Drosophila melanogaster: one gene and its partners. Changing the gene in region 1 together with any one later gene gives a genetic interaction. Each region holds a gene or a part of one and is shown in the gene's direction. Other genes may lie near its edges.

Region 1 (11,296 bases):
TGCTGATTATCACCGAACTGCTGCGTGTTGCTCGAGCGACGCTGCTCAAAGTCTGTAAAGTATAAACAGCAAGTTATTAGGAAGAGTTTCTAAAAAGCGGTACCCAATTTTGCTTATCATATAAGCCAACCTTAAGTTGATAAGAAAGTAAACCAACAAAATGAATCATTACCTTTCTAAAAATCTGAACGTAAGCCAATCATAATAAATTATAAGGGGACTAAAAAAGTAATTCTTAGAAACCACTGTTTTCATTTCTACATGAGATCCAAAAGTTTGCACTACATCTTTTAGTCTTTTTACCCTGAAGCCGAATAGAGGGGAATGACCCCTTTTAATTTAAGGGTGGAACGATGAACTTACCACCCTTGTTGTTGCGGATCGAGTTGTTTCGCTGCGGCAGCGGGCCACCGTTGTCCAGTCGCGAGTTGCCGTTGCTGTTGTTGTACGACGAAGCGGTGGTGGAGTAGCTAACCTGACTGCCATTACCGCCACCCGAGGTTGCCGAGGAAGAGTTATAGGTGTTGCTGCTGATGGACTGCTGCTGCTGCTGTTGCTGCTGGAGCTGTTGCTGCTGCTGCAGTGCGGCGTTCACAAAGCCGCTGGGCGAGGAGGACGTGGACTTGAAGAGATTCGCGTACGTCTTGGGCTCATTCTGCTGCTGCTTGGCGGCCTCGTACTTCTCCTGCTGCTGCTGCTCGTGAATGGTCTTGAAATCCTCGACGGGCGTGGGAGGCTTCTGCTGCCTTGGCGCCACCTCCACTTCCTCGGGCTCAGCCAGCGGTTGTTGCTGCTGTTGCAAAGGCTGCTGCTGCTGGATAGGTTGCTGCTGCTGCTGCTGCTGCGGGGGCAGCTGTGCCGGTTGCTGCTGCTGCTGCTGCTGGATGAGCTGTGGTGCCACCAGTGGCGACTGTTGGAAGCCCGCGCTTGGCACTGGAACAATGGGCAACACAGGCGTGCCGGTCGGCTGCTGCTGCTGTACCAGGGGAGACACGCTGGGTGGGACCAGCACCTGCTGCTGCTGCAGCTCCTCGTGCGACACCACACCGTTCTGGATGGGCTGTGGCGGCGGAACGGTGAACTGCGCGGGCAGTGGAACAGCAGCGGCTTGCGGAGCTGGTGGCAAAACAGCCACAGGACGTCCGGCGGCAGCACCCGCTGGCAATGGGTAGAAGATCTGCTGTGGGGCAGCACCACCGGCCGCTACAGGAGCTACCTGCTGGGGCACCACGACCTGAGCCTGTGGCTGCGGAGGAGCCTGCTGTTGCTGCGGCTGCTGGGCAACTACATCGCCGGCCACCTGCACAGCTTGATCCACAGTGCCACCGACGACCTGCACATCGTGCTCCTCATCGTTCTCCGATCGCGACTCGCCATCCTGCTCGTCCTCGATGTAGAGATCCTGATAGCGGAAGATGTCGTTGTGCACGTAGTACTTCTTCGGCGACTGAGCGGCCAGAACGAACGTCTGGGTAAAACGCCGCATCGGCTGGCCATCATTGGATAGCTCCCCGGTGACCTGAACCACCACACCGTTGCCCAAAGTGGCCTGGGCATCAACCTGGCTGATCTTCGCGTGGCAATCGTTGAAGTTCAGCTGCTGGATTCGGTTGTGGATCTCCCGCTGACCGACCACCAGCTTGGACTCTCCATGGATGTACGACGAGTTGTGGTTATAGAAGCGATGCAAGTGGTTGGGCGCCTTGTTCAACAGCGTGTAGTACTGGCGGACAAACTCGCGTCCCACAGATTGCGGCGAAGGCTGCTGCGATTGGGTCGCATCCATGACCATAGCTGGCGTTTGATTCTTCCTCTCTGAACTACGGACTCTTCGACTCGGATTCTTTGTCTCCGCTTCCAATTTCTGCTTCCCTTCTTTCTAGCTGCTGCTCGGATCTATCGACACGGTGGCTGATCTGTGTCGATTGAGAGTGTGGGAACGTCTGCGAAATAGTGCAAAAAATATACGCGCACTATGAAAATCTGTCTGGTTTTTTTAATAAAAAAAAAGAAAAGTTGGCAAAAGTCCTAGACGACTGTGTAGATTTTTCAATCTGATAATTTGAAATTAAAGGAAGCTGCTACCCTGTTTCTTACAATCTCCAAAAGGTGTTCAAAGATGGCTTATTCATACCTGTGCCGGTAAAAGTATAGAAACCATAATGAATCACTAGTTGTGTTATCAGTTAATTTCATCACGTGTAAATTTAATTTGGAGAATTAAGGCTTGATAACGGTAAAACACGCAAATATAAGAAACAAATTTAATTGGATTTTCAGACTGTCCATTAAATCAATCTGTGCTTCTTTTACATAAATTTCTAGAGAAATGTGACTGACTACCAAAGTGTTGACCCCTGCTGTGCTCTCCAATAAGGATCTAGAGTTTCGCTTGGTCACAAGGACGGCGGGGAGGGGGGGAGGTTTGTACACCCAAAACAGGGAGCTCATTTTACCGCAGTGCATATAAAACAGACGCAGCGCGCTGCAGTTTGACCCACTTTTGGGGCCCACACACATTTGCACATGCGAAAAGGGGAAATTTGGTGTAGTGCAGCTGTCAGGAAAAATTCCAATTTGCTTGCCGTCGCAGGACATTTAACCCTGCACGTGCTCCAGCTTTTATGCCTGCGATCCTGGCTGACTGAACTTTGCACGTGTGTGTGTGTGCGCGAGTAAATGACCTCATACAATTTGGCAAAGAAAAAAAAGAAGCCGCCAAGCGAGGAGCATGAATTAAATTGAGGTTATGTTCGGGTCTCAAGGTTGTGGCGCCGCATACAATGAACTCCAGCTTGGCCAAAATATCAAATTGCTGCCTTGCAAAAACACTTGAAATAGCGTTAAAAGGTGTAAGTAAATATCAATGTTTGCAGGTGTCCTTTGCCCCATTTTAGCCATAAACATTTGCCGATAAAACAAAAAATGCACAATGAGTTGCGGCAAACCCACACGCACACATATTCGGTTATGAACGCGCCGCTCTTTCGGGTTCTCTCTTTCCCACTCTATTTCTGCTTGCGAACCGCGTGTGTAGGAAGAACAAAGAAAGCTATAGTTGAAGAGCAGCATTTAAACAAAAATGTACAAAAACAAAATTTTTCGTACATTTTTAGGTTATGCACAAGCGATAATAAAAAAAGCCGCTAAAATGGTAAAAAAAAAAATTTAAGAGATAGAGCCCTGCCGCAATAATAAAATATACGCCCATTTAGCATTTTTTATGTTGATTTTTTCCTAGTATGCGCCACCCCTTTGAAAATGGAAAATGCTAGTTTTTCTAGACCGCGCACACGAGGCCGTCGCCGGCTCACCTTTTTTAAGCGATATTTTTCCTCGTTTTTATTTTTCCTTTTTGTAATGCACAGTGTGTATTGCTTTTGGGTTGAAGTTTGCCGAAAAATCGGCACTTTTTGTAGCACTTTTCTTTGTTATCTTCCTGCGGGGGGCGGGGAGAGTTGGATTTCTTAGTGGAGCGCTGAAATTATGCGGTTTTTTTAATTTACAAAACGATAGTCGAAACGTATGAAATGCAGTATAAAATTGCAAGCTGCACACAAAACACACAGCCACACACACCAATGCACTCACTCGCTCACACACACACACTAGTCTAGTTTGTTGCAATTCTTTTTGTCTTTTTTTTTGAGAATAACTAACTTGGCAATTCTTGACGTGTATTTTTTGTTGCTTTCTGATGTTTGGCGATCACAGTTGTTGTTGAATTAAGTTACGATGCATATGTTGTGGCTTTTGAGTAGAAAATAATCGCAAACGCAATGAAATTGGACAAGTGTGTTGAATCGAGAAGAGAACCGACGTTCGTTCCTCTTTTCCTCTTTTTTGCCTCTGCACAGTTTTATTCTTGGTTTCGCGTGTGTTGGTGTGTGAATGATGGCGGCTTTTCCAAGGGTGTGCACACACTTCTTTTTTTGGGGTGGTTAATCTAGTATGTTCCATAGAATATTTTGATGAATTTGATATTTTCATATTTGAGCTCAATTAAGCTCATTTTAGGGGCGCTAAGTTTCTTTTAAATAGTTTTATAAAACTTATTTTCATTTTAGCCATTTCCGATTTTTTGAGTAAGCTCATGAAACACCTTTCTTTAAAGGAAACATTTTATATAGCAAATAAATAAAAACCATAATAACGTTATATTATAACCTGTTGGGAAATCCGAATATGAAAATTGTATAAATTTTTGCAAAAAATAAAAATATTTAATATAAACCAATTAAATGATTTAAAATATTGTTGATGTTTCAGCCTATAAGAAGTTAATATGAAAATTCGATTTTAAACAATTCTTTGTATGTAAATGTTGTTTTCGTTCCCAACACATAGTAAATAATGAACATTGTATTTTTTATATTTATAAAATTATAAATGTTTATGAAATACTTAATATTTATTTAAATATTTAAACCTTTAATACAACTAAAATGAATTTATAAACCAAGTAACTTGTCCATTGTGTAAACTGGGCTTTAAAATATTTGTATAAAATTTTTGGTATTCTTTTCATTTTCTCTTCATAGGTGTGTGTACATTGTATAAATCAAAGCTGCCATACTGCAAGCAGACAAGTCACGCGCCCATTTAGCTCCTTATATAGGCTTATTTGGGGTGGTATCGTACAGAAAATCCCAATTTAATCCTTGGCAAATGTATAGCTAACAATCTCCAGGTAGAGCAAGCAAATACAATACAAATATTTACCAAAATAATACCAAATCGACTTGACTGGGAAAACATCAAGGTGGCAACGCCGCACCCATATACACACGCTGTCGTTTGCATTTATCATTTTCCGGTCGTCATTTCATTCGTACGCGCGACTTTTTGGCGAGTGTGTATAAAAATCTCCGGCTCTGCGTAAAAAACGAATATCGTGCTGCCTAGCCCCCGAAATTAGTAGATCAGTCGAAAACACACAAAATGGCCGAGAACAAGCAAGTGGATACAGAAATAAACGGCGAGGATTTCACCAAGGACGTGACTGCCGACGGTCCGGGATCTGAAAATGGTGATGCGGGCGCCGCCGGCTCGACCAACGGCAGTTCGGACAACCAATCGGCCGCATCCGGCCAGCGGGACGACGACAGGTATGTCCATTATCCGGCGGATACGTTTTTTTTTTGTTCTTTTTTATTTTTGCAACGGGCAACCGATGATCATGTGCCCCCCATAGATTTTCTGCTTCTACATAGTGTATATTGCCTACTCTGTTACGTAAATGCAAAGCTAACGTCGTTGGTCGAGTTTCATTGGATTTTACGGGGTTCTGCGGGGGAAGTCTGACCCCTTTTGTGTTCTCTCTCGCTTGCGCTCGTGCGTCGGAGTGTGTTTAAGTGTGTGTGTGTGAGGTGTCGGTGCGACTGTACTTCAGTCATATTAATAGAATCTTCGGGCCAAAATGCATCATCACAGTCTCGGGAGACATGGAAAATTTTCAACGTTTTCCCCTGCACACACACGCACTTTCCGCAATGAAAACCAGAGTTTTCTTAAGCTAGGAGCACATTTTCTCCCCTTTGTGAGGTTATGTTTGTTTCCCACGTTGCCCCACAGACACACTGTGACGCATACGAACACAAATCATACGGTTGCCTTTCACTTGCAAAAAATGTGGCGAAAAAAAACGTTGGAAAAAGTTATGTTTGTATTTGTCAGTGTATTCTTTTTAATTCGCATTACTCTTTGTTTCGGCTATTTCGTTGTTATTTTGTGCTCTTCCAGTTTTGTACCCAAAATGGCGGCTGCATACAGGCATACATACCAACCTAACGCCCGCTGTTCTGTAGGTGTGTGCGTGTTTTGCAGTTTTCACTTATTCTCTTGCTTGCCGGCTTCGCTCGCTCGCCACCTCTTTTGCGCGCTCTTACTCTCAGAGAGCGACAGCCGGCGTTGTTTGGAGTTGCCAAGGCGCCAAAATATTAATTTAACGAACAATTAATGTAAATTATAAATGATAAATAATTTTGATGGATTAAAGCATAGAGATAATGATGATCAAGTAGAATGGTCCTCTTGTTTGCTCCCCTGCGTTTTGGTTTTTAGGTCTAGCGTACACTTCATTTGCCCATCCTTTATGATCATTTTATATCTAAGTTTAATCTTAAGTCACACGATACTGTACATTTAAACGATAATACGAAACCAGCGCTGACGAAGCAGATGCAGATTATTCCCCGTAAAGGAAGAAGGACGAAATGGAGAAATTAAATCGAAAATCATAGCTTATCCTGTTGTCTTGTGAGCGAACTAACCTTGTTCCTCTCCGGCAGGTTTTGAGAGAAGTGAAATGCCCCAGGTCAGGGTTTTAAGCTATGCTCAAGACGGATATGGATTCGGATATGGATTTGGATTCGTATTCCTGCCCCCGGCAAACGGTTACGGATTCGGATTCGGATTCGGCGGACTTATACTTGGAGGATATGCAACCCTCTCCACACTCCAGTCTCCAAAAGTCTCCGCTCCGCCGATACTGATGCTGATGGTATTTATCTATCCAAAACTAAAACAAACAAACAATCAGTCAGTCAGCCAATATATAGAACTATCAACACACAAAATTATCAAGAAATAATCTCGATTTAAAATTGGATCCATATGTAAACTGTATACGAGTATATATTGTATTGTATCTCTTAACGTATAACTTGTAAATTACCTAAAAAAAAAAGAAAAACAAAAAAGTACCAAGTAATCGGAGACAGAGAGAGACCGAGTGAAAAAGAGACTCGCAGTTTTTTCGTTTTGTTTTATGAAGCTCAAAAACTATACATTATATATCGCCCGAAGAAAGAAACACAATGAACGAATGTAACGTAACGAATTGCCACAAAAAAGAAGCACAAATCACTAAATTGCAATCGAAATTCCGCCGCCGTGTGATGAGACTGTTCCAAATTTGCCGGGAATCCGCCGAGAACGATGAGATATCTTTCCAAAAAGTCCAGAAATCAATGAGTAACGTACACATCATAGTAAACTATAAGTGTCTGCATATTTTTTCAACATTCCTTTTTATAAAAAAAAAAAAATATAAAATAAAATAAACAGCCAAATAAAGAAAGTAAAACTAACCACAATCCAGCATAAAAACCTTTGCATTCTTTTCTCTCATCCTATTGAATAAAGACTAATTGTTAATTGTTATTTGTACAGACAAAGACTCTTAAGCATACCCAAAACAAAAACTTAATAATTCACTCTTGCATATCTTATATATACTATATATCTATATCTTTCGCTCGTTTTGTGTCTCTCGATCGATCGCTCGCTCGCTCCTCGAACTCTTTCGCTCATTCCGAGTTTGCAAGTATTTTGACACTATCCGATCAATTCTTTGATTGCAATACAGTAACTAAAGCAATTTTTCACTTCAAATTTGGTGAGTTTTTTTTATTCGTTTTGTATTCTTGCCCAGTCATCAAATTCTTTTGCAGCCAATACGAAAATCAGTAAGAGAAGAAAAAATTTAAAGTAAATTAAGAAAGTATTTGCCTCGCGCATCAAACACAACCTATTTTTCGTGCCTGATTTTCCCAGATAAACCTTTTCCTACCAAAATATTTCCCTAAATCTATATTGAAATGTTTTAAGATACCATCAATCTAACCAATTAATCTTTAAACTTTCGCAGGAAACTGTTTGTCGGTGGTCTGAGCTGGGAAACGACTGAGAGTAAGTATAAAACTAAAACGAAGTAAATAAACAAATGCTAACAAGTTGCTTTTCTATTATTTCAGAGGAACTCCGCGATCACTTCGGCAAATATGGCGAGATCGAGAGCATCAATGTCAAGACAGATCCCCAGACCGGTCGGTCCCGAGGATTCGCCTTCATCGTGTTTACAAACACCGAGGCCATTGACAAAGTCAGCGCCGCGGATGAGCACATAATCAACAGCAAGAAGGTCGATCCCAAGAAGGCCAAGGCCAGGCACGGCAAGATCTTTGTCGGCGGCCTCACCACAGAGATCAGCGATGAGGAGATTAAGACCTACTTTGGACAGTTCGGCAATGTAAGTAACCCTAAAGCGGTAGACCTTTTGGAATTTGCCAATAATGATTTACTTAAATTCTTTTTGTTTAAAGATCGTCGAGGTGGAGATGCCATTCGACAAGCAAAAGTCGCAGCGCAAAGGATTCTGCTTCATCACCTTCGATTCGGAGCAGGTGGTGACAGATTTGCTGAAGACGCCCAAGCAGAAGATCGCCGGCAAGGAGGTCGATGTTAAGCGTGCGACGCCCAAGCCGGAGAACCAGATGATGGGCGGTATGCGTGGTGGACCACGCGGTGGTATGCGCGGCGGACGCGGTGGCTACGGAGGACGAGGTGGTTAGTACAGCCGCTAACGAAGCAGTGCATTTTTGCTTCTTATGGAAACCGGCTCTAAACTATATATTTCACACCATCCCATAGGCTACAACAACCAGTGGGACGGACAGGGATCATACGGCGGCTATGGCGGCGGCTACGGCGGATATGGTGCCGGTGGTTATGGCGACTACTATGCCGGCGGCTACTATAATGGATATGACTACGGTTATGGTAAATACAACAAACAACAAAGTAGTGCTCAAAACAATTATTACAATAACAACACGTCGAGTAATTACCATCAAAACAAGAACAATAGCAACAACTATCAGCAGTTCTAAGTAGAGCCTCAGCCGCATAGAGCTGGCCTGGCCAGCAACAAAATCAGAAAGAAATAATCAAACAAAGCAAACAACAACAACCGCAGAATATAAAAACCTTCTAATTTTTGCCATAGACCTGATCTGATCCAAAATTTCCACGTTGTTGTGTTTCCCATTCAAACAAAACTGAGAGAAAAACAAAAACAAAAAGTTTAGCTGCATTTCGATATATAGTACCATATATATATATATATATATATTTATATATGCTTATATACCGCATGCATTGTCTATATGCATATTTGCATATAAATCATGTTGGTATATGATGTCAATGAACAACAACATCAAAAACAACAACAAGAACAAGAACAACTACGAAAGCAACGTCGCTAAAAACAAGAAAACTTTTAAAAATTGTAGATTTGAAAGAGAGAAAACAAGAAACATTTCTTTAATGCTAACATATAAATTTTAATCTAATCGTTCATTTTATATTGAAAAAAATGTGTATTTTGACAGACAATTTTCATCATTTAATAATAACAAGCAAAATCGCAATTTTTATATACACATTTATATCTATCTTATTAAATATAAACCTACGTATAATTTTAAAGGCATATAATTGATGTTTAAAATTTTAAAGCGTACCTTTTAAACGAGAATTCATTTAAACGAAACATTTAATTACCAATTATTAGTTGAGTAGCATTTAAACATAAAACTGACGAAGCGTGTGTAAAAAAAAAGATGTGTTGTTAATAGAGTGAGAAGGAGCGATGAGAAAAGTAGACGTGACGTTCAAGTCGAGGCATATATAATGCTACCATCCTGCCATTTATATGCGACCACCACCAGACCGGACCAACCAACAAACAACAACAACAACCAGAACAACATCAACAACAACTTGGTTGCCTTCAACAGACTTTCCAAAGATGACAAATACCTCAAACGCAAGGGCAGCAAACAAACAACCAGAAGAACAGAAAGAAACCCCAGACATAACAACAAACAAAGAAACATGAAACACAAGAGAGGAGCATGTGCCAATTATGTGAAACTGTGTGAAACGCCAGTGTTTTTGGCCTTTTGCGCAATTGCAACTTGTGCCTTTTTTTAATTGTTAACTAAACTGTTATTGTTTGAACACACTGAAATCAAAATCTGTTGAAACACACAAACACCCACACTACACACACACACCCACTTTCCCGCCAGCAATCCCATAAAATAGTTATTTAAATAGTTTCACCTTTTGTTTTGTTTAACAAAACACTAAACAACAAGCAACCAGAACAGAAACGACAACAAACAAACAAAAAACAAAACACACGAAACGCGTAATCAAAGCTTTGATTCAATGTCTATTTAAATATATATATACCTTATATATAGCATATAAATATATTTTTAGATACATATTATTATTCCGGCAACGGGATAATATTCACGTTCTTTGCAATGCATATGTTTTCGTATGCACCATACGTCAATATACCTACCATATATATTTATATCAAATATATACAAATGTTATATATTTATACATAAAACGTAACATTTAACTATGGTACTATTTTTGATAGTATTATTTTAAGGCAAATCCTTGTAAAAAACAACTACAATACGATAAGAGCACAACAACCAGAAGCTCTGAAAAGATCTGAAGGCCCCGGGGGGTCCAAAAAAGTCAGTGCAGTGCATCCGGGATATTATCATTCCGGTGGAACCACTGCTGCAGCACCCCCCCGCAGCCTCATTCGTTAGATCGTTCTTTTATTTGCTTTATTTGCATTTCCGCTGCACTTTCTTGACCAAAACGTAACGTAATGTCCGAAGCAATCCATTTTTGAGGCTTGTCTTCAGTTGCACCGCTAGCGCATTGCGGCATTCTGCATGTTCATACGTTGATTCCAGGATAAAAAACCACAAACAAACAACTAACTAACTTACTGAACAACGACAAGTAATTACAACTGCAATAGCAACATCAACAACATCTTAATTGTAGCAGTACAAAAATGCAACTTTTCCAACAAAAAAAAAAAAAAAAAAAGAAAGAAAGAAAAACGATTCATAAAAACACACTTCGTCAATTTTAGTAATTTTAATTCAAGCATATATACATATATAATTTTTTCTTATGGTTTCACATACACAAGCATTGCTAATCGCAAATGTATATATAAATACCTCTTATAATTCGTATATCTTTGAATTTGAAATTTAGCAGAACCTTGAAATGAACTTTTTGCTAATAATTATCCTATCAAATGTTGTCAATGTGCGTCGACAATTTGACTGTATACCAATTATATATACATTTGTACATTTACATACACCTTTAATCATAAACTTTGAGTAAATTGTTTTACAAAGAAATTGCATGTTTCTCAATGTTTTTAGCAAGTTGTCTGTATACAAAGAAAACCAAACAAAAAAATCTAGGCAAGATAAGAAAAAAATTTATTGACATTTATATTAAAGTTATCCCAGAAAGAAAAGTTTTTATATAAATTTTATGCTATATTTTTATTAATTAATATACCGATTATTATGATGTTTAAATGTGTAAACAAATTTTTTTGATATAAACAAAATTTTTGTATACCTTTACATATACTTACCATACAATT
Region 2 (10,025 bases), on another chromosome or scaffold:
GGGAGTTTCCACTTGCATGTCAAATGGGGTGGAGGTTTTCCACAGGGTGCTGAGAAGCTTGTGCTTAAACCGACCACACCAAACGGTGCCCCCCGTCCAATTTTGCAACCCATTCTTGACCACTTGAAATTTCACTGCATTTGCTGGGCACGGGGAAGCGAATAAAGTAGAGACAGTTTGAGTGGAAATGCAGAAATTGTCACTTGATACGAATCCAAAATATCATATAAACAAAAAATACATACAATATTTAAATTTAAGAGTGTAAAAAGTGTATCAACTGCTTTGTATTTGGAATTGAGTTTTAAATTCATTTGCCAACTTTCGCTGGGAAAGCTCATGGAAAACCCATGCGTGTGTGTGTCTGTGTGTGGGAATGAGGTCATATTTTGGAGCTGTCATCGCCATTTCGAGTGAGCCCGTCTCCTTGCCCCCTGTCCATTTCAGCTTTTCCTTTTGCTTGTCGCGGCACAAGTTCGCCAGCAAATCAAGTGTGAGACCAACAAAAAAGAAATGGCGAATGGAGAAGTGCGCAGCAACCGAATATCCACTGTAACTCCTAGGTTACTGACTGAAAAATAAAGAGTTTTTCTAACTCAGTGCTATGCGCATTTGTCGCGGTGTAGGATTGAGCCACGCAAAAACAGAACCACAGAGAAGAATTAGACGGAGATGATGGCAAAGTTGAAATGGCGAACTCAGCAGGTCACTCCCCTTCTTATCCATTCTAAACCATTTTTGTTGCTCGAAAGGATTTAACGCCTCGTTGAATGGCAAGCGAGTTAATTCACATTTTTTTTGTGCTACGCCAATTTCTTATCGAGTTTTCTTCGCTCGCAGTCTGGAACTGGAGTGGCCCTCACCGCTCGATTGGGTGTCATGGTTTTCTCATGGGTGGCATTGGAGGTTGTGAGTGCAGGGGCAACTGGGAGCATCGGCACATTTCTCCTGGGCCGGTTGATATTTCATCTTTATCTGCCATCTCAGAGTACCGAAAGTGGATTTTCGATTTGGAGTTTTGATTCGTGACACGATTTTACAGTTTTGCATTTTAAAGGGCACCTGACCAACGCGTAGCAAGGTTAGAAGTAAATAAATACATTACCCACTGCGCCCACTACGAATTCGTTGGTAGGGCCACTTTGAAAATTGGCAAAGCAGGATCCGGGGCCTGGCTGATTTCCACCGCATGCGATGTGCGGCTTCGGAGGCGTGTCCGAAGGTTGATGGTAGCTATGGTCGGGTGAACCCGCACCTGGTTCTGGGGTATCCAGTGAAAGCCGAAACTGCTCTTGGTCTTGGACCGCCTTAATTGGTGCGGAAATTATTAATTATCTTTGGCCGGGCGCCGCAGAAATCGAAAGCTTTGAACAGCGATTGCCAGTGTGCGGCTGATTCAATTAGTCGCTCCCGAATCCGGCAGATGCGAAACAAAGTCCAACTGTCTGCGGTCTCCGCAATTGCACACTTTGGCCACCCTGCGGCTAACCGCCCGAATTTGTGGGCCTGGACTGCGAATTATGTAATTTACTCCGCTGGGCTTGGAATAGAAGTAGGGTAATGGGGACGGGATGGCCAGATATTTTGGCACCTACTGCAGGAGAAGTTCATCCAAGACCACTATCGCTTATCATTTTGTATCACTTAGAGAATATATTTCTTTAGAAATAGGAAATGTATATATGATAGATCAAATGAAACCTTTTCTAGCAAATTATTGAAGGAATATGTATTTTCTTTGCAACTTATAAATCACTTGTACATTCTGCCGATTCATGCTGCAGTTGGGCTTGATCTCCCCCTCCGCTTTTGGAAAAGTTCTTAATTGCAAGTGCCCAGAGCCGCGGCTGCCCGATCCCTTCCTGCTTCTGGAGGACCCCATGGGCGCCTCATTTGGTAACTTCGTTGTAATTTGGGCATAATTATAACGAAGCCAACAGCTGGCAGCGAAACGGCAGCCACGCCCCTTTTTTTGGGGCCTGCACTTTATTTCGGTTCACTTATTATGCAATTTACTTTCGGGGGCCGGAAAGTTTCCCGCCCATTTAAACTTTAATTACTTACAGACATTGCCTTGAAATGGCTCCGCGCATTGTCAGCGAAAAAACCTGAGCAACAGGGAAAGTCTGAAAAGTCCTGGCAAGCAGGCAGAAGATTACTATATAGATGACAATCGGCCTTCGCCATTGATAAAATTGCACGCCATTTCCGGTCAGTAAACTTTCAATGTGAAAACTTTTTCTTTTTCACTGCGTTTGTCTACGATTCTGCAAAGTAAAATTCGAATCGAGCCAAGTTGTGCAACTTATTGTGCAAGCGATAGCAGAGATACCTTGTTTTTGGATGTGCTGAGAAGCAGGTGCGTTTCGTCACCAATAGACTGCCGGATAATATGGACACGAACTAGTGATTATACATATGGTTACTTTTGGTAACATTTGTTACCAGCCTTGATAAGGGTAAAATTTTAATAGTTGTTACCTTAAATGTTGTATTTTAACTTAATGGGAATTCATAGCCTTTCGACCTCATGCTTTCAATTAAACCATTTTAAACTTACGTGTGTCCCCTTATGCAGTGCAACGCAGTCCGATAATTTCGATAAACCGGTGGAAAGAAGGGTTTGAACTTTTCAGTTTTGAGTTGCATGCACAACTTGAATAACTCAATTAGTGTGCGCATTGTTGTATGTTGTGGCAGTAGTTGGTGTTCGGCTTTTCTCGTAATTGTTGCTTTTGTTGATGTGCATTGACTTAGAGCGCAATTTTCACGCTTCTATGCCTGGGCCAAGCCCCAAAAACGAAAGCGAAACGAGAAGGTATTAAAGAAAACCCGGTGTAGTCGTTGAAGAAATTTAATTGGAGCAAACTCGAGCAAGCACTAGACATTAGACGTTGCAATTGCAGTTGCAGATGCAACAAAAGTGAAATTACAAAATTAATGCAAAAAACGAGTCTTCAAGAGTAATCGGGACGAAATCAGATGGTTCGAGCAAAAGGCATGCATTAATCCTATTCTATCAAGATCTAAAAAATGACATTCTATCCTAATTATACAAAATATAGAGTAGGCTTTCAGCGACCCTTAGCTCCGCGTTTCTGTTTTCATCCTGTGTGAGCTCAATGCAAATTTGTTTGGCTTTGCCCAACTGTGCGTGGCTTTTCCCAGTCGCTCGCTCGGCCGCTCCCTTTCGCCGCTAATGTGGCGCTAATTAGCTAGTTGTGAAAATGCGTAGGTGCCTTGGGAAATCCAGCCCTCTGCTGTCCGGTAAAGAATGAGCCACAATATTAGACTGCATTGCGGGTATTTGTCAACCCGTTAGCGGGATGACTAATGTCATTTGGGCTTGGGGAAAGGTGCCGATAATCACTGTCGCATGGAATATTTTCAACTTTTGCCAATAGGCGTATCAATCCAATCTTTTTTTTTAGATTTCATTTGAATTTGCCATGGTGAACGATGAAGACGCCGCGCACCAAAGACCTAGCAAGCCCACCGGATACAACTTCTACCGCTCCTCCTTGGGATCCCCGCGTTATGTAGTGGCTCCCATGGTGGATCAAAGCGAGCTGGCCTGGCGAATGCTGTGCCGACGCTATGGCGCCGAACTCTGCTACTCGCCAATGTACCATGCGAACCTCTTCGCCACAGACCCCAAGTATCGCAAGGATGCCTTGCAGACGTGTCCCGAGGACAGGCCATTGATCATCCAGTTCTGTGGCAACGATGCTCAACAAATCCTGGATGCAGCACTCCTGGCGCAGGACCACTGCGACGCGGTGGACATAAATTTGGGTTGTCCCCAGGCCATTGCCAAGAGAGGTCACTACGGATCCTTCCTGCAGGATGAGTGGGAGCTGCTGACAGAGATTGGTGAGTAGCACAGGCTACTTTGATTGTTTATGGAACTAGTGATTGCAACTGCTATATTATCCTAGTGAGCACACTGCACGCAAAACTAGCCGTTCCTGTAACTTGCAAGATTCGCATCTTCGAGGACCTTGAGAAGACCATTAGGTATGCCAAGATGCTGGAGGCGGCCGGCTGCCAGCTTCTGACTGTCCACGGTAGGACCAGAGAGCAGAAGGGTCCGCTGACCGGGGTGGCTAATTGGAACTACATTAAGAATGTGCGCCAGCACATCAAGATTCCAATGCTTGCCAACGGAAACATCCTGGCCCTGGACGACGTTCATCGTTGTCTGACTGAAACAGGAGTCGATGGTGTAATGAGCGCCGAGGGTAATCTGCACAATCCGGCCATCTTTAAAGGAGTCTCACCGCCCGTCTGGCAAATGGCCCATGAGTACTTGGAGCTCGTTCAGCTCCATCCGTGCCCGAGTTCCTTTATACGAGGACATCTCTTCAAGCTCTTCCATCACATGTAAGTCTCTACACTACCGAACCTAAACCGATTTTTCAAAATCAATTCTCTATTTCGTAGCATGAATATCCGGCAGAACTCTGAGTTACGGCAATACCTAGCCACTGCAAATCAGCTCGTGCAATTCCAAGCCGTCGTGCAACAAGTACGGGCAAAATACGAGCCGTTCCACAAGGGCGAGGTGCCATACGAGCCCGAACAAATGGCTGCTGGATCAGAGGAAGATGTAAGTTGCTCGAACGGATCTTTGTAATAGAGTGGATCTGAAATAACACGAATATTTTATATTCCCCAATAAAGCTGCCACTTTCTCCCTGGCTGTGTCAACCATATATACGCGCCTCACCCGAATCCCATCGCCAGAAGATTGCCGAAAAGGTGCGCGAGGCTGAGGATCCCAACCGAACCAAGCGGCAGTACTTCGACAAGGACGGCAAGGAGATCTCCCGCAAACGGATGAAGAAACTTCGAAGACGCCAGCGAAGACCCAACAAAACGGAGGCCCAGATCCAGCATCGGCACGAGAGGCGCCTGGAATACTGCTCGGAATGCGCCAATCCCCAGGGATCCAAGTGCGAGTTCCAGCTGTGCCGCGTGTGCTGCAAGGACAGGTGCTACAACAACGATCGCGATTGTCCTGGTCACGGGATCTTCATCAAATCCCGCCGAGCCAGGGCCAAGCTTTTTGAGGAGCACATCGCCCCGCAGGACCACCAGAAGGTGACGAGAACTTCAGACGATGACCTGACGATAGCCCCAACGGATGCGCAGGAGCCGCTTTGACCTTAAACCTGTACTTTAGGAAACACCCTTCTTGTTTTTGTTTCTATGACTGCGAATAAAAAAAAGCTTGTTTTAAAAACCGCATTGATTGTTTTCATTCAAACTTTTGATTCCATGGCGGGTTTCTTTCATAAGCAAACCCCAAACCGGTTGAATTGGCCAATTTATGCGAACCCATTCTATTTGTGCATTTATACTTTTAAAGTTTCCTATGTAAAAAAAAAAAACTGTTAGTGTGACCGTGTTATTTGTGCCCTAAAATGTGTTTCAATTATCTGGCGAAAGCTGGCCACTCTAAACACCGGTTGCACGCTGTGGGCAACGAAAATCAAAACAAAGCCTAAAATGGAGCAAACAAGGCCATTTTACGATTTCAGCATACCATACAACAAGGACGACTCCGTGTTGCGGGCCCTGCTTAACGAGCTGGTGGAAAGTGAGTGAGAACAAATGACCATACAGAAGATTCCCACGACATCCGACATACTCGTTGCAGCGGGCTACAAAACAGTGGCCATCGACCAGAGTTTCGACCACAGCAAAAAGGATCCGGGCAAACGTGGGTCCGAGATGTTTCCCGAGCCTCATAAGATCGAGCATCTGCGCAAGGAGTTCCAGGACAAGCTGAGAATCCTGCAGAGAATCACCATTCTCTACGTAGACGTCAATGTGGCCCACGCGATGGTAGGAACACTTGATGATGGATAATAGCAAGTTAATTTGTATTTGTTGCTGTAGAGTGTCTCCCATAATCTGCGGAAGTTCAATCTCATCGCTGGCCAACCGAAAACAGATGCCGCCCTGACGGTAAGTCACTATAAGTACCACCTTCAAATCATCATTTAACACGGACCATCTAAGCACTGCTGCACTGCCTTCAATGGGGACTTGATAACTTTTGATCCTGTGGCTGGGTCCCGACTCTTGGTAAACCGAAAAGCATACCAGGTGGCAGTCCGTCGGGGCATGTTCTTCGAAATTAAATACGCTCCATCTATCTGCGATTCGAATAACAGGAAGGACATGATAAAGATCGCCCAGAACTATTGCACCAAAGGGAAGTCCAAGAACGTTATCTTCAGCAGTGGTGCGGCGCACGAATTCCAGCTGAGAGGACCTTACGACGTTGCTAATTTGTAAGATATAGCTAACTAGATTACCTTTAAGATGAAGTCTAATTGGTACTAACATTTTAAAGGGCCTTTATCTTCGGCCTATCAGAGGACCAAGGGAAAAATGCTGTGGACGGGCACTGCCGGGAACTTTTCCTGAAGGCTGAGGCGCGTCGTCTGGGAAAAACCATCATGTTTCTCAAAGGAAACGGTCCCATAATATACTCGGATAGCTCTGAGGACGAGAAAAGCACCGAAGACGAAATGAAGGGTCTAAAACCGCAAATTGGAAAAGCGGATGCATTTGAAGTCAAAGACGGAACTGAGCACGCTATTAAACGACTTAAAGTGGCGTAGCCTTTAACTAAAATACATCAGCTTTTTTAATAAGTTGGCTAGTTTTGATTTTACGACGAAAGCCGGCTAACGTAACGTAATGGTTTTGGGTCTAGGCTGCACGTGGTTTGGGTCCAGGAAAAGGTCGACAGTTTTACTTCAGCAGCTACATGTCTAACTATACCCGATTGACTATGCTAATTATCGTTAAATTTTAAGTTGTTTGTTAAATAATATTTCCGTTTGTTGTCATTTGTACATTAGTGATGTCAGTAGCGATATTTAAAATAATATATCGATGGCATAAAAAGAAGAACCATCGATTGGCGGGTATCCGGGACTTCTGGCAACATTGATTTTCGTCCCAGCTCTAGCGTACAACAACAAAACAAAATGGAGGTCTTTGATGTGTGTGTCGCGTTGTCTTGAAATTTGCTGCTAGAATTTTGCGTTAAACGGTAATTTAAAGTGCAAAGTAATTAAGAAAAATTGCTTTAAAACGCTTGCCAGGGTGCCGGCATCTGGAAAAGCACCAAATCTGATCGGAGTTGAGCGTATTTTAAGCAAAATTAGCATTTGAAAAGTGGTCGAAACCGAGTCACTTGAAAAGAAAAAATGTGCAAAGAGGAGAGTGGAGAGTAAGACAGAGAAAGCAAAAAGAGCAAGAAGACAAGCGACGAGACGAAAAGAAAAACGGCAAAGCAAAAGAAATATATTTCGCGAGACTACGAAGAAAAGCTGAAAAGTAGCAGCCGTCGAATTTCAATTGTTTTTTCCCCCGCAGTTCCAAGTGCATTTCTCTATGCGCCTGTGTTCGTGTATGTGTGTGTGCGAATAATTAATGGCAAAATTGCCGAAGAACATCGAAAATCAAATCCGAAAATGTGAGCGGCGACCGTCTAATACAATTAAAAATGGTCATCATCGGGAAGTTTGTGTATGTGTGCGATGCTCGCTTGCGTTTTCGTCTTCATCATGTTTGAGTGTAATTATCACGTTGATTATTGCCTGCTCATTTGATTTCTTTCTCCAACTTCTATTCGCCATATTCTTTACTCCCGCTTTTTACTCAAAAAAAATTAAAACTGTTGGTGGTTATAGCTAGGACTTTTTTTCTCGTAACGCTTGTAGCATACATTTTGTGTATGTATTTGTGCCCCGTTTCGCTGCAGTGTTGCCAACATTATTCGGGTGATGCAGCGCCGCACATTTTGCACCTGTGCAGGAGACAATCTCTCCCCACCCTCACTCACGCCCCGTGGCGCATTTATCCATCTACCATAATGGCCATTGCTACAGTTGCTCTGCCAACGTCGCAGTCGACGTTCTCGTTGCTCTTTTCACAGTTTGTTATTATTGCGATGGGACAAACCGAAGTGCAAATCATATTCCCAAATTAATTGTCTTATTTTTCGATTAGGTTTATTTCAATGGCTCGATTTTAATTTAAGAAATAAACAGGAAAACTACTCGAAAATCTAGCAAAACATCCGCAGGTTTGAGAAGACGATTCTGTTGCAGATAAAATTTCTCCTCGTTTTTTCTACAAATTTAATCTGTGCTGCAAAACAACCAACAACTCGAGTGCAATCTTTTTCTTTTTATAACAAATTTGGTGTTCTTGGTCCAAGCTGCACTGTAGCTGTCATCAATATTTCTATATTGATAGTCTAAAGTAGCACTCACATAGATACAGTGCACATATGCAACGGTATCCCCATTTGCGGCTCTTCCTCTTTGATTGGTTTTTGCTCTGCTTCGGTCGCTGTGTCAACTCATCTGTCTGCCTCCATCTTCCTCGCTCCACTCGCTCTCTTCTCATTCGGTGCACACACTCACAGTTGGCAGTGCTTGGACACACGTTTTTCTAGCCGGGCCACTCTTTCTCTGATATGCTGGTCTGCTCTTACACACACACCGCCGCTACGACGCGCAATTGATGAGAGAGCGTAAAATTCATGCGCTTGTCGCCGCTCTCGACGCGTCGCGTCGTCTGTTGTGCATCTCTTCTTCTTCCACTCGGCGGCTGTAACAATTTTTTTCCATTCCATTCCATCTTCGTCTTTTTTCTTTTTTTTACTGGTGCAATTACCAAGGCGCAGAGATTTTTCCCCTCATTTCCAGCAATATCTATCGATTTCTTTGTTTCTTTTCGGCTGTAAAAAACTACTTTTAATTGTAATTACCGCGCGTTTGTGTGAGTTAGTGAGTAAGTGAGATGGAATCGGGCCGCGAGAAGAAGAAGCAACAGTCACAATTGCAACCGTTGCGCTTTTGTAGTTTTTGCCATTGCGTCTTCTTCTTGCAACGGCAATTGTGCTACAATTATTATTTCGCATGTGTATCTACACTTGAATTAGCATTGTTGTTGTGCTTCTTGTTGCCCTTTCATTCGCCGTCATCTGTCATTTCGTTGCGCTTAACTATCGATAACTTGCGTCCAAAATGATTGCGTGACCAAAAACCAAACCGAAAAACAAAAGAAAACGGGAGAAAAAAAACTAAAGAGAGCAACGTGAACCGTACAAATGAACTGTAAATTGTGAGAACCTGCGATAATAAACAAGATAAAGTCAAATGGATTAGCAGCAAAAAAATAATTTAAAAATGGTGAGTAATACTATTTTCAAGTAAATTGTTAATGTAAGTACTCCTCTCCAAACGGAGTCGTGAAAGTGCGAGCGATTTACAACAATGGCCAGGCAGAAAATGCTTTTTAGAAATAATTATGTATCTTTAACCGAAAACAGATACACACACTCAGCGAGACACGCAACACAGACATATAAACGAATTGAGCGAAAAGTCACAAACACAAACGCCAGCGAAATAATTTCAATCAACTCTTTTCGGCGAAGAAGAAGAAAAAGCAGCGAAAAAACGTCACACGCCTGTTTTCTCCCTTTACACCTCGCCTCTCGTCGTATTCTTCCCTCCCCCACTCGTTAATATGCGAATAATGCTAAAGTTGGGGCGAGTGGGCAGTTCCACCACTCATTGCTTACAGTTGTTCTTGTTTTCGTTCGGCTTCGCCGAAAAAATTTAAGTAAAAGGCGAAAAAATAACTTATGTGACGTGAAAATTTGAAGAACACCAGCTGGGTTGGTGGGGGGTATGTTAGAAATCATTGGGAAACAATAGTAAAGCTTTCTTTTCTCGGACTGCAAGTAAAATAGGTGGTAATATATGGATATTAGTTTTTACAGAATTAAATTATAAATTTAATAAAAGTATTGTGAAATTATTAAAATATTAAATGTGTTGCTGTTAACAGATGGATAATCACTCGGTAATCTGTAGTTAAGATTTTGGTAAGGTTCCGTTCAGGCTTTTGACGTACCACTGTACCCAATCAAAATGACCGACGAGCTCAACAAGAAGAGTGATGACGGGCGAGAGAACCGAACGATG
Region 3 (11,021 bases), on another chromosome or scaffold:
CTTCCACTGGCGTTCGTCCTTGTCCCACGACGGGACAATGTGTGGAGAGGGGTGGAAGGGGGGGGGGGGGGGTGATGCCAGAATAGAGAGACACACAAGGGTTGCAATCTAATGAAATAATAATAATAAAAAAGTAAATAAAGCAAGGGGCGAAGTCAACGGAACGCAGCCAAATTCGATCCTCGACGTGTGGCGTGGGTGCAACAGAGATGGCAAGAGTGGCAAGCGCGTAACGGGACACCACCACCCAAAAGCTGGAAGACAGCGGACTGGAACGTTCTCTCCCCCAACCCCTTCCATGCCAAACCATTCCCGTGCCAACGCACTCGCGAAAATAATTGAATGTAATTTTAAATGATGTTTGTGATTATATTACAAATGAAAATTGGGTTTCTTAGAAACATTCGAAAAGTATTAAAAAAGAGAATGATGATCTGCTTGTTTAGCCCCATCTCAAAATCGCTTCATTTCCTGCTTAGAAGGTATCTAATAGTCGCGACACTCGACCATTTTCATTTACTGTGCACTAAATACCATAGAATCCAAGCCAATGCGATCCCAACCATCCCAAATCGAAATGGAAAATCGCAGCATGGCAACGCACAGGACGCACACACAAAAATGCGTCGCAGTTGCCGCTGGGGGTGGGTGGTGGCTCTTCCTTTCCCATTTCCATTCCCTTTCCCTGCGCCTTTCCCTTTACCATTAGCGTTAAACCCTCCCAGCTCGTATCCTCGTCCCTTTTTTTTGGACTAGGCTAGGGCTAGAGCCCAGACTGAGAGTTCAGAACTCACAGCCAGCCGGCTGTAAACATTCCTGACAGACGCAGGAACGCAGCAACGCATCGCAACCACACAGCGCACATTCAGCAACAGCGATGGTGGTGGTGGCAAGCAAATTATGAGATTTTCAGGGGTTCAACAGCCTCCTAGAAATGTACGGGACAACTAAAGTATTCCATCAATGCATTGAAAGAATTCTTCAAGTCTGCCATCAGAGCTATATCTATACAATGGTACTACAAAATAGATCCCTAAGTATATGCTAATATAGATAGTCAGAGGTAGAAAGATGTATATCCTTGAAAGATCTATCTAAATGATTGTTGTATCTTAACAAATATGGCTTGAAGTTAAAGAACTTAACAGTTCGTTCGCCTTACTTCTGCACTCCGTAATCTTCTAGTTTAAGCTTAAAGTTGCAGCTCAGCATTGAGATCTTGGATGGAAAGTGCATGGGCATGGGCCTGGAACCACTGCCATTGTGCACCCATGTCCAGGGGCGTAGGGCCACATCCTCGACCTTGTCCTTGTCCCGTATTTTGGGGTTGAAAAACTACGCAAGTTTCGCTCGAAATTCGAAAACGGGACGCAATCGCTTAGTGTGTGCGTGCGATATGGTATGGGTGTAGACTCTCTGTGTGTGTGTGTGTGTGTGTGTGTGGGCTGAGTTGGGTTGGTAACAGTCGGATATATATGTACATACTTATATATATTTTATGTTTGTTGCTGCTCTGGGGTGCGCATCAGATTTAGCTGAACGAAGGAAGGAAGCATCGACAAAAAAGAGGAACGGGAAAATGTAGGAGAGCAGGAAGTAGAAATTTCGTTGGCAGCAAGGTCAGCGAGAGAGGGAGATGGCAGGAGTGAGGGAAACAGAGATGGAGAAGGCACAGTCTTAGATCGAAACACGATTGTGAGCTGCAGACTTTTCCAAGTCCCCGGAATCGCTATTCGCAGCTCACTTCCCTCGTGTTAACCTCATTGCGTCCAATCTAGTTGGAAAATCCCGTTGAGGTATCAAGTACTGTTTATAGAAATGTATCTTTCATAACACTATCATAACAATTGAATACTACACTCTCTAACTCGTCGTTCGAAAACAAACTTATGATTATAAAGGCCATAGTAACAAAGAAGCCGCAACGCAAGTCGTAAAATGCATTGCATACTTTCTGGAGTCGAAAAGTGCCACAATTAATATATGCAATCTAAACAATGGGATTGGGAAAAGAAAATAATTTATATAATTCTATTATAAGCCAAAATAATAGCTTTATTGATATCTATGCATAATCGCAATTTACAAATGCCAATAACTTGGCTCACAAGTGGCAATCGTGAGTGGAATCGAATTCACAATTTCCCCGAAAGACATTTTCCGTTCTCTTGTTTTCCTCATGTCTTAAAATTATAGTCTTGCCTTTTGTCAAGCAGCTGTGGCAGTTTGAATTTTCCTGACATTTTCACGAGCCAGTAGACAAAACAGACGGGGCGATAAAAGGGCGCAAAGGAGAGCGAAGAGGAGCGGAGAAGAGAGAAAAGTGGAGAGAAGAGCGATGAGCGAAGAGAGAGCGGGAAAAACGCTGGCGTCTCTGCTCGGGCCACCCTTGTTTTCAGAGTTTTTCCCCGAGTTTTCCGCTTGGTACTATGAGTTTTCGCTTTTCACATTTCACACTCACCCCCGTCGCAGCTGCGTCGACGTCAACGTCAGCGTCAGCGTCGACAGCGCTGCCAACAGCTAGCCGGTCCAAGCCAATCAGATGGAAAATATTCGTTTATCCGTTGCGTTTTTCGATGTTTTTCCTTTTTGGGTCGGGAAAACCTTTTGCATAGGGCGACCAGCAGTGCAAAGTACAGGTCCAACAGCTGGCACAGTGATCACCAGATGAAATAGAACAGATCAACAGAAATCATCGATCATTAAATCGGAATAGAAATGAAATTAGAAGTTAGCTATATAAATATGTAACGTATCTAAGCAAGGCCTAAAATGTATGTTAAATATATTTTGATTACCTATAGTAACTTAATAATACATTTGGCAATGTATACTGGCATAAATTAATAGTTAGCTTATTCGATTTCTTAACCTTAGATCATTTATAGTGGTCGCCGACTTTTTAGAGTGAGTGTGGTGTAAGCCGGCTGCTGCCCTTTAAAGCGGATAATGTGTATAGACGCTTGCACACAGATACAGATACGAGTACAGACACAGATACAGATACAAATATGCCAAGGAGCAGGGTCAGCCATTTTGGTTTACAACTTTCACTGTTTTGGATGGGTGGGAAAATGCGACGCCAACGCCAACGCCGCTGCTACAGCGCCGCGGCAGAGGTCCTGAGAGCAGAGCAGAGCTGAACAGAGTTTTCCTCGCATTTTCATCGGGCGCTGAGCAGACACCTTGGAAATTGGGATCCGTATATCCGGCAGGCAGGCAGTTCACTCGTCGCCGTTGCGTCAGTTCGTTCGACTCTCGACTCTCAGCTCACAGTTCGCAGTTAAATAGTTAATAGTCAATAGCTCACGCCGAACAGCTATCGAGATATTAGTGTTTTGGATTCAGATTCAGATTCAGATTCAGATACGGATACGGATTCAAACGGCGCCGCCATTTGTGATTTTTGTTGTTTTTTCTTGTATGAGCAAAAAGTGACAAAGCACAAAAAAAAAGAAAAAAAAAGATAAAAACCAGTGAAAAGCCAAAGGAAAAGCGCAAAGAAAAGTGAAAAATCATCATAAAATAACAAACAAAAATTCGACGAGAATTCTTGAGGTTTACCAAATACACCAAAGTGTAAGTGTAAGAAAGAGAAAGGAGATACCAACCAAGCCATAGAGAGAGAAGGTGAGGGAGAGAGAGAGTAAGGGAGTGGGAATAGGAGGGAGTGTTTTTCCAGCCTTGCTTTGTACGCACTCACTCACGCATCTGCTGCCGTCTCGCTCGCACCCACACAATCCAACGCCCACCCACGGCAACCCACACACAGAGTTGTCACCTACACAAAAATCAATAACGAAACCCAATAAAATAAAATCCACAACGACAGCGAAAACAAGCCCAAAAAGAAAATGTTACTTCCTGTCTAAATCAATCAATGGAAAAATCAATTGCGAACTCATTAAGGATGCTAGATTTTGATTCCAAGTAATTCTTATGGCATTTGAAAACTAGCTATAGATTGCATAAAAACTAGATTTCTTAGGGATTAACTATAATTTTCTTTTAATGCTTTAGGCTATGGACGGTAATAGGTTATGTAGAAAGTATTGTAGTATTGCAAATATAACCCATTATTGAATATCCCAAATCACACACACCATTGGCTTTGCTGTCAATCGCAAATGTCTAAAAGCCCCATACAAATTTCACTTTTCCCACTATTCAGTTTCAAATTTTTTCTCGCTCAATATAAAAAAAAAATCAAAAATTTACCCAAAATCAAAAATATACACTCACACAGTCCATAACAAGACAAGACACCGGAAAACAACAGGCAACACACCCATATTAAAGCCAAAAAAAAAGGAATCTAAGAAAGGCCAAAGGAAAGGCGAAAGACCAGACAATTTTGTTTAAACTACGTACTAGGTAGAGATATTTATAATCTGGAGAATTCCGATCAATTGGAATATTGTAGCCCAGAGAATATCGATCCTCTCGAGAAAAATTCACCGACCTCACTTTCCAATTCTAAAGCCTGAAATCTTGATGTTGAACCCACACAATTGGCAACTTAATTGAATCAAGAGCCTGCAAAGGACTGAGATCTCTGGAGCAAGAATCAGGCACCTTTATCTCAAGCAATTTCAACAGACATCCTATCCAAATCTCGAGAATAAGCAGTGCACTTGCGTCCCATTGAAAGTGTAAGTATCCTTTTCTGTCAGGATATTGAAACGGGTCCTCGAAAAATGTTACCTTGCTATAGTTCCGTAACGAACTCAATATATTGATTATATTGATATTGATAAGAGGATAGAATGAGGATATTATTCCTATACTATTCCTATTTAAGATCTCTTCTCTACAATAGTCGAGATTCTTCTAAGCAACCAAGATCAATTAAAAACCAATAACTTAGCTAGCACTCCGCCACAGTTCCTGTGTCTGTGTCTTTCATTCATATATCCGATGATAAATTCCCAAGTTTTCTTTATGCCAACTCCATTGCAACATTGTACAAAGTACAGGGAATGCTCCACAAGTGCGATTATAAATTGTTCAGAATGTAAGCGGCAATGATTGCGGAGGCTTCTCTGTAGTTGAACGCCGAGGTTGCGTGTTTGGCGTCTATTTTAAATGTCGACAGCGCAAGATGCGCGTGGCATGAATGAAGCGTCTGTCCCGCCTTTCAGACCAACAACCACCGCCCCCCCGCCCCCCCAACGCTTTTTGTTGGCCCCCTGCTCGTCTTCTTCTTCTTCTCTTCCTCATTCTAATCTGGCTCGTCTGCTTCTAAATTTAATACATTCTCAAGTGAGGCGAAATTCATGGAAGATGCGAATAAAATCGGATCAATTTTAAAGTTCAACAGCCGCTGAAAAAGAGAGAGTGATATATGTATATCCAAAGAAATTGGGAATTGCAGCGATAGAGATAGCAATATGTCGGTGGGGCCAGAATTAGAAGCAGACTGACAAAGAAATAGGTGCCAGTTTGGTCAAATTCCTTAGCGTTTCGCAATTGGGAGAGGGTGGTTCATATCGTTTAGATGCCAAGTTGTAAAAGGCGCAATGGTTCGTAGCTTAAGGATATTCTTAAGGATATACCAAACATGTTTCCTAAGTCCCCATACACTTAATTTTGCCTATTACATCGCTTAAATTCTACATTCTTTTGATAGTAAAACTCTCGTTTTAATCGCGAGTTAACCCTTATTGCTTTTGTAAGTTCTAATGCTTCGGTTTGAATAGATTTCATTCCTTACAAAGCTGCCTTTTATCTTAAGATACCAACCACCCCCAGTATTAAATAAAAAAAAAGGGTGCTCACTTCAGTCTTATGTAAGGGCTACATGCATCTTACTTTTGGGGATGTTAGTCCACCACTAGCAGCGTAAGTTGGAAAGTTGGAGTATTCTCAGATAGCCATCAATCTGCACTCGCACTCAGTATCCGTCGATCGTCTATCTCGTTCTATTTGAGGCAACTGTACCTCGTTAGCGCGCTCCTTTGACGCGGTTTGTCCTTGAGGCAGCTCTCTAAGAAAGCTTAGGTAGGCAGACGGGCAGCTTTCGCAGCTGTTGCCTGCTCCTCGCTGCCTGGCTGCCGCTCATCCGTCTGCTCCTCCCTTGGGCACTCCTTATCTAGTCCTTAAAAGGTGTCCTGTAGCCAAACGAGCTCCTCGAACCCCATCCCCCTTCGCACGGCATTCCTCATTCGATTGTTTTATGTCCTGTTCGTCGGTGGCAGTCGACTGTGTGCGGCAGAGTCAGGATATCGCCGTATAAATATAAATCTATTGTGATATAGTACATAGTCATATGGTTTGCCATTGATTAAAGTTTTCTTTTCATTTTCACCAATCATTTTCAATTTCAAAGCTATCCACTATGATTAAGAATGATGGTCATCATTAACCTAAGTTAACTTTTCATATAAGTTCTTATCTAAGAGCCACTACTAGTGCTATTCAATGAAACGGAAGCCACAAGGAAATGAAATCACTTTCCCAAGAATCCTGCACGAACCCTTTTTTGCATGCATCCTTCCGGTTCGTGTGCATCTCAATCACATTTGACTGCGTTCGCCATTGCAGTCGGTAGAATTGTAATCAACCACTGAGCCACTGAACCACCGAGCACCACCCGAAAACCCCAAACACCCACCCAGAGGCTAAGTGGACGGACTCAAACGGACGCATTCACATAGCTTTCGACGATTTTATTCGCAGGACTAAGGTTCTTCCTCCCCCCTCCCTCATACTAGCACTCCTTCTCTTTCTCTCTCTCTCTCTCTCTCTGTCTCTTGCACTCATTTAGCATGCATGTGTGGGAAGGGGGGGGGGGGCGGACAGCGTTGGGTTGTGAGAAAGTGGGTGGTTAGGCCTTCTGGCGTTGCATACTTTCGAGGGGTTGCTGTGCTGCACTTTGCTGCGCGCGCGCCATTTTCCATTCGTTCAGCGTAAAATGGAGCAGCAAAAAGTGCAACTGCAACAGGCGTTCGCCATTTGCCGCCGGTTGCAAAAAAAGGGTTATGCAAGGGGGAGGAGGGGGATAGAGGTGGAGGTCAAGCCCGCCCACCACGGGGGTTATAACCTTTGGCAGGATGATGTTGCAACCGCAGGAGTCGCCACCCCTCGAGAGAGCTAGCTTGTTTATGGCCGATGTTGCTGCTGCTGCTGCTGCTGCTGCTGCTGGCGGCGGTGATGGTGGTTGTGTTGTGCTGTGCTGTGAGTTGTGTCGATACCCTTGACGCCGTTGCACTTTTGTTGCAAATTGCTGGCAAAGGACACAAAAGCTTTACAAGCTTCGCCACCTCTAATTGGCTTGTCGCGGCTGAAAAAAAAAAAAGGAATGGAAAGGAAAAAGGAGGAGGATGCCGCCAGGAAGTGGTGTTCAGTGCTCAGAAAGGATTCAATCGGATTCAAGTGGCTGGCAAGGGGTAGAACTAATTTAAACCATGTACCAACCCAAACAGCCTACCCGCCGCACCCTTGCATCCTTGCATCCTTGACCACCCCTGTATCCTTCCGGCGCGAGATGAGGCCTATTAAACGTCAATTAATGTCACCTTCAACAACTGCAATTGCTGCCGCTGCATCCTGCATCCTTTTGCTCCTTTAACCCTGGACCCTTTCCACCTTCCCGGCCTCTACCCTCCCGATTCTGATTGCGATTCTGTTCTTTTCTGTTTTGATTGCGACGCGTGCAGGGACCTTTAAGATGGCAGTGGTGGCGGGTGGGGAAGTGGTTTGCTGGCTGGCGTTCAACTAAAGAAGGTCAGAGTGCAGTGTTGCATGCAACAAGTGAGCTGACAGAACCAGACGACGTCGACCTGGGCGGGTTGGACTGCATCTATAGAAGCGATGCGGAACGAGATTTAAGCTGGCTGCATGCAGCATTTTAAAGGCATTTCAACACTTTACGTGTGATGATTATATCCTCTTTAGTTGCGCTTGAAAGGAAAACGAGGATTCTTCTTAATAGCCTTATATATGCATACATATGTAAAGAAGGTTACAGCTATGTTTATTTTAATTAAAAAGGTTTTCTCATTGAAATATATGTAGATAATATATTATAATATATATATAATAATTATAATCTATTGGTTATAAAAAATGTATGTCATAAATCTGACTTATCAAAGTAGTCGATTTTAATGCTTTATTTCTTCTCAGCTCAGAAAAAAAGGTGAATTTTTTGTTTATTTTAGAATGTTTAATGTGTAAGATTACTGAATGTAATTTAAACAAATTGTAAGCCAATTGTTTTACTGATTGCAACAGTGATAAATGGAATACCTTTTTATGTTGAATTTTTTTAGGGCTGAATGCAGAGAACGTGACTGTTCGGAAGGTCCTTGGCTAGAAAGTTTTGCCGCTTGGTCTAAACTTTTCACTGCTAATCGCAGCTTTGGACTTGAACTTGTCGACCAAGGACATTGTATTAGCCTTGCCCCTAAGCCATCTTCCTCTCCCCTCAACTAGGATTCTATGTGAAACTCGCTTTTAGTGTCCTTCCACATCTAACACAATCCCCCCATTCCACTATCCTAACCACCTCTTTCCCCCCCCCCCCCCATCCTCCTTCCCCTTTGGTTAACGCTCGCATTTCGTTTTTCAATTTTTCGGCTGCTTTTTGCGTTGCTTTTTTTTTCTTAGAAAAGAAAAGAAAAAAAGGAAAAAAGCAGCAGCAGCAACAAGAACGCCGGTATACAGAGCAGCTATTGTGTGCTCGCAGTTCACTTCCTTTTGCCGCTTCCTTCTTCCTTTTCGGTTTTCAGTTTCCAGAGCTTAAGCGCCGTCGTCATCGCCACACTCACACACACACGCGTGCACACACACACACGCACACACACACATGGACACCTCGTAAGTTTATACGTGTTTGTGTGTGTGTATTCATGTGTGTCTCGTTTTTTGGCAACGCCAGCGGCGCAGTCCGCGTTGACGTCGACGCCGGCAGCGGTTTAAAAAAGAGCGAGCGAGAGCAGTGCGTTGTGCATCTCTCTCGCACGCGCTCCTTTAAGTTCAGTTACTTTTGGGCGGTGGAGCAAGGTAGGAAGAGTGGGCAGGGGGGACTGGAGCGAGGGCAACACACGCGCGTCTTTTCTGAGCCGCTTTTTCGAGTGAGTTTTTCTTTGAGAGGAGAGTGTGCCGACAGGAATTCCTCATACAGTCCAACTTCCATAGCTGGAACATCCAGAATCCAGGATCCATGCAAGGCATCTTTCACTCACGCATATCCTATATCCTATAGAAAATTTAGACTACTTTCGCAAGTATTATTTTCTTTTCCTAAGAGAAACTTCAGCGAAATCTTACATTTATGCAGATTATTTGATTTTATTAATATTCAAGCAAATACTAGAACCTGTTTTAATATTCTAACGACAAACATAATCCTTAGGACAAACAAAATGAAGAGCTTGTTTTAAAAATTTCTCAAAGAGCCTTTATGTTATAGACTCTGCGAATTCTATTGGTCCCGTTTTCTAAATTTAAATGCCAAAATACTGTGATCTGTGACCACAGCCCTTTTAACCCGTATTAGTCTTTAAATTCTATCTCTTAAATATTTAATTCCAATTCAACGAAGTTTAAGTGAAAGTTACTCTTAAAATCTTTTAAAATATTTCTAAAGTACGTTTGTGTAAAGAAGTCCTATTTCTAATTGGCTTTCAATGTAGGAGTGCATCTTGTTTAATTAATATTTCAGAAGATCCTACCTTTTCTAGAACTGAATAATATTCTATTGTACGGTATGAATAATATAACTAGTAACTTATATTTTAAATAATAATGTGATTTTAAATAATAATCACTAAAGAATTTTCTGCTTTATAATCATTACCGTGATAAATTTCTATTAAGAATTAATGCATAGATACTATAACTGAGCTATAATATCTTAGGATCTGCGAATGGCGGAGCTTTTCTGATAACCCAAGTGAACTAAACCACCATTTTAGATTTCATCCGTCTCATTGTTAGCTTTAATTACTGCTTTTATCAATTTCCGAAGAGCGATGGCAGCAAGAAGAAGACATTGGAGCCACTCAACACTCCACACACGCCACCTCGCTCGCACTCGCACTCACTCGCTCACCTACTCACTTACCCACAGTCACTCGACTCAGAAAACACTCGCCGAAAATTTTCGGCAATCCGTAACGCACACACACATACAAGTGCACGCGGTTTCTTGGTGTTTTGCCTTTGCCTTTTGCTTTTACTTCTCCTCTCCATTGCCATGCCCTTGTGTGTGCGTGCATTTGTGTGTGTGAGTTTCGCATTGGTGTGTGCGTGTGTTTTGTATCTGTGTTTAGGAATTTCGGCAGCGGAGAAAAAATGTAATTTTCGAGTAAAACAGCGTCCGTGCGCTCGGTCGGCAGTTTAGTGTCTGAAAACGCTCCTAACTGTAAGCAACGTAGCGTCGCGACTCGCGGGCTGCCCCAAATAATCACAAGAAAAAAAGAATTAAAATCAAATAAAAAGCAGACAGAAAGAAATTGTACAAAGCCAACAAATAATGAAAAACAAGAGAAAAAATAGCCAAACGAAAAGCCCCAAAAAATTAAACCAGAAGAGAAGAAGCAGCAGCAGCAGCAGCTAAAGCAAAACCAAAACCAGCAGCCTTGAATCAATTTTTTCTCTGTGCTACACTTTACTTTAATATTTTGTGACCGCCGTACCATTTTTTTTGTCATTTCACGTTTTGCGCGCCACGGATACTTAGATACACGGGTATTATCCGTCGGAAAACGGAAACGAAACGAAGCAACTAACGAGTCCGCCGTATAAACTATCATCTCCACTGAGAAAAAAACCCCCTCCCTTCCCTTATAAAACCAAAAAAGAAAAATAGAAAAGAAAACTAGAAGGGAAAGAAGAAGAATAAAGAAAAAGGAATGGGATGGTGAATAACGGGGGCTTGTAGGGGGTTCTATGTGTATTTTTTGTTGCTGCTGCTGCTACTTTTTTCGTGGCATATTTTTTGACTTTGACTTTAATTCGTTTGCCTTTGCTTTTTTCCTCTGCCCCTCCGCGCTCTTCTCTCTGTCTGAGCGTGT

What was found.
Region 2: of sqd (region 1) and Rpp30, changing one suppresses a phenotype caused by changing the other (phenotypic suppression), as found in Drosophila melanogaster (one study listed by BioGRID).
Region 3: of sqd (region 1) and Imp, changing one enhances a phenotype caused by changing the other (phenotypic enhancement), as found in Drosophila melanogaster (one study listed by BioGRID).

Annotation. Positions count from the first base shown.
Region 1 is NT_033777.3:13,639,565-13,650,860, reverse strand, and holds the start of sqd (squid), read left to right. Parts: upstream 1-4,556; 5' UTR 4,557-4,941; coding exon 4,942-5,108; intron 5,109-6,290; exon of another isoform or gene 6,291-6,502; intron 6,503-7,651; coding exon 7,652-7,692; intron 7,693-7,757; coding exon 7,758-8,032; intron 8,033-8,105; coding exon 8,106-8,349; intron 8,350-8,433; coding exon 8,434-8,562; coding exon of another isoform or gene 8,563-8,672; exon of another isoform or gene 8,673-11,296. Other genes in the region: rin (rasputin), read right to left, coding at 1-52, 364-1,792. UniProt on the Drosophila melanogaster protein: Component of ribonucleosomes. Could be needed to organize a concentration gradient of a dorsalizing morphogen (Dm) originating in the germinal vesicle. At least one of the isoforms is essential in somatic tissues.
Region 2 is NT_033779.5:247,804-257,828, reverse strand, and holds Rpp30 (RNaseP protein p30), read left to right. Parts: upstream 1-5,455; 5' UTR 5,456-5,511; coding exon 5,512-5,602; intron 5,603-5,662; coding exon 5,663-5,850; intron 5,851-5,904; coding exon 5,905-5,973; intron 5,974-6,027; coding exon 6,028-6,302; intron 6,303-6,364; coding exon 6,365-6,635; 3' UTR 6,636-6,790; downstream 6,791-10,025. Other genes in the region: Dus1 (dihydrouridine synthase 1), read left to right, coding at 3,450-3,873, 3,939-4,383, 4,444-4,609, 4,684-5,166.
Region 3 is NC_004354.4:10,814,950-10,825,970, reverse strand, and holds the start of Imp (IGF-II mRNA-binding protein), read left to right. Parts: upstream 1-1,693; 5' UTR 1,694-1,796; intron 1,797-3,184; exon of another isoform or gene 3,185-3,579; intron 3,580-4,153; exon of another isoform or gene 4,154-4,652; intron 4,653-10,335; exon of another isoform or gene 10,336-10,369; intron 10,370-11,021.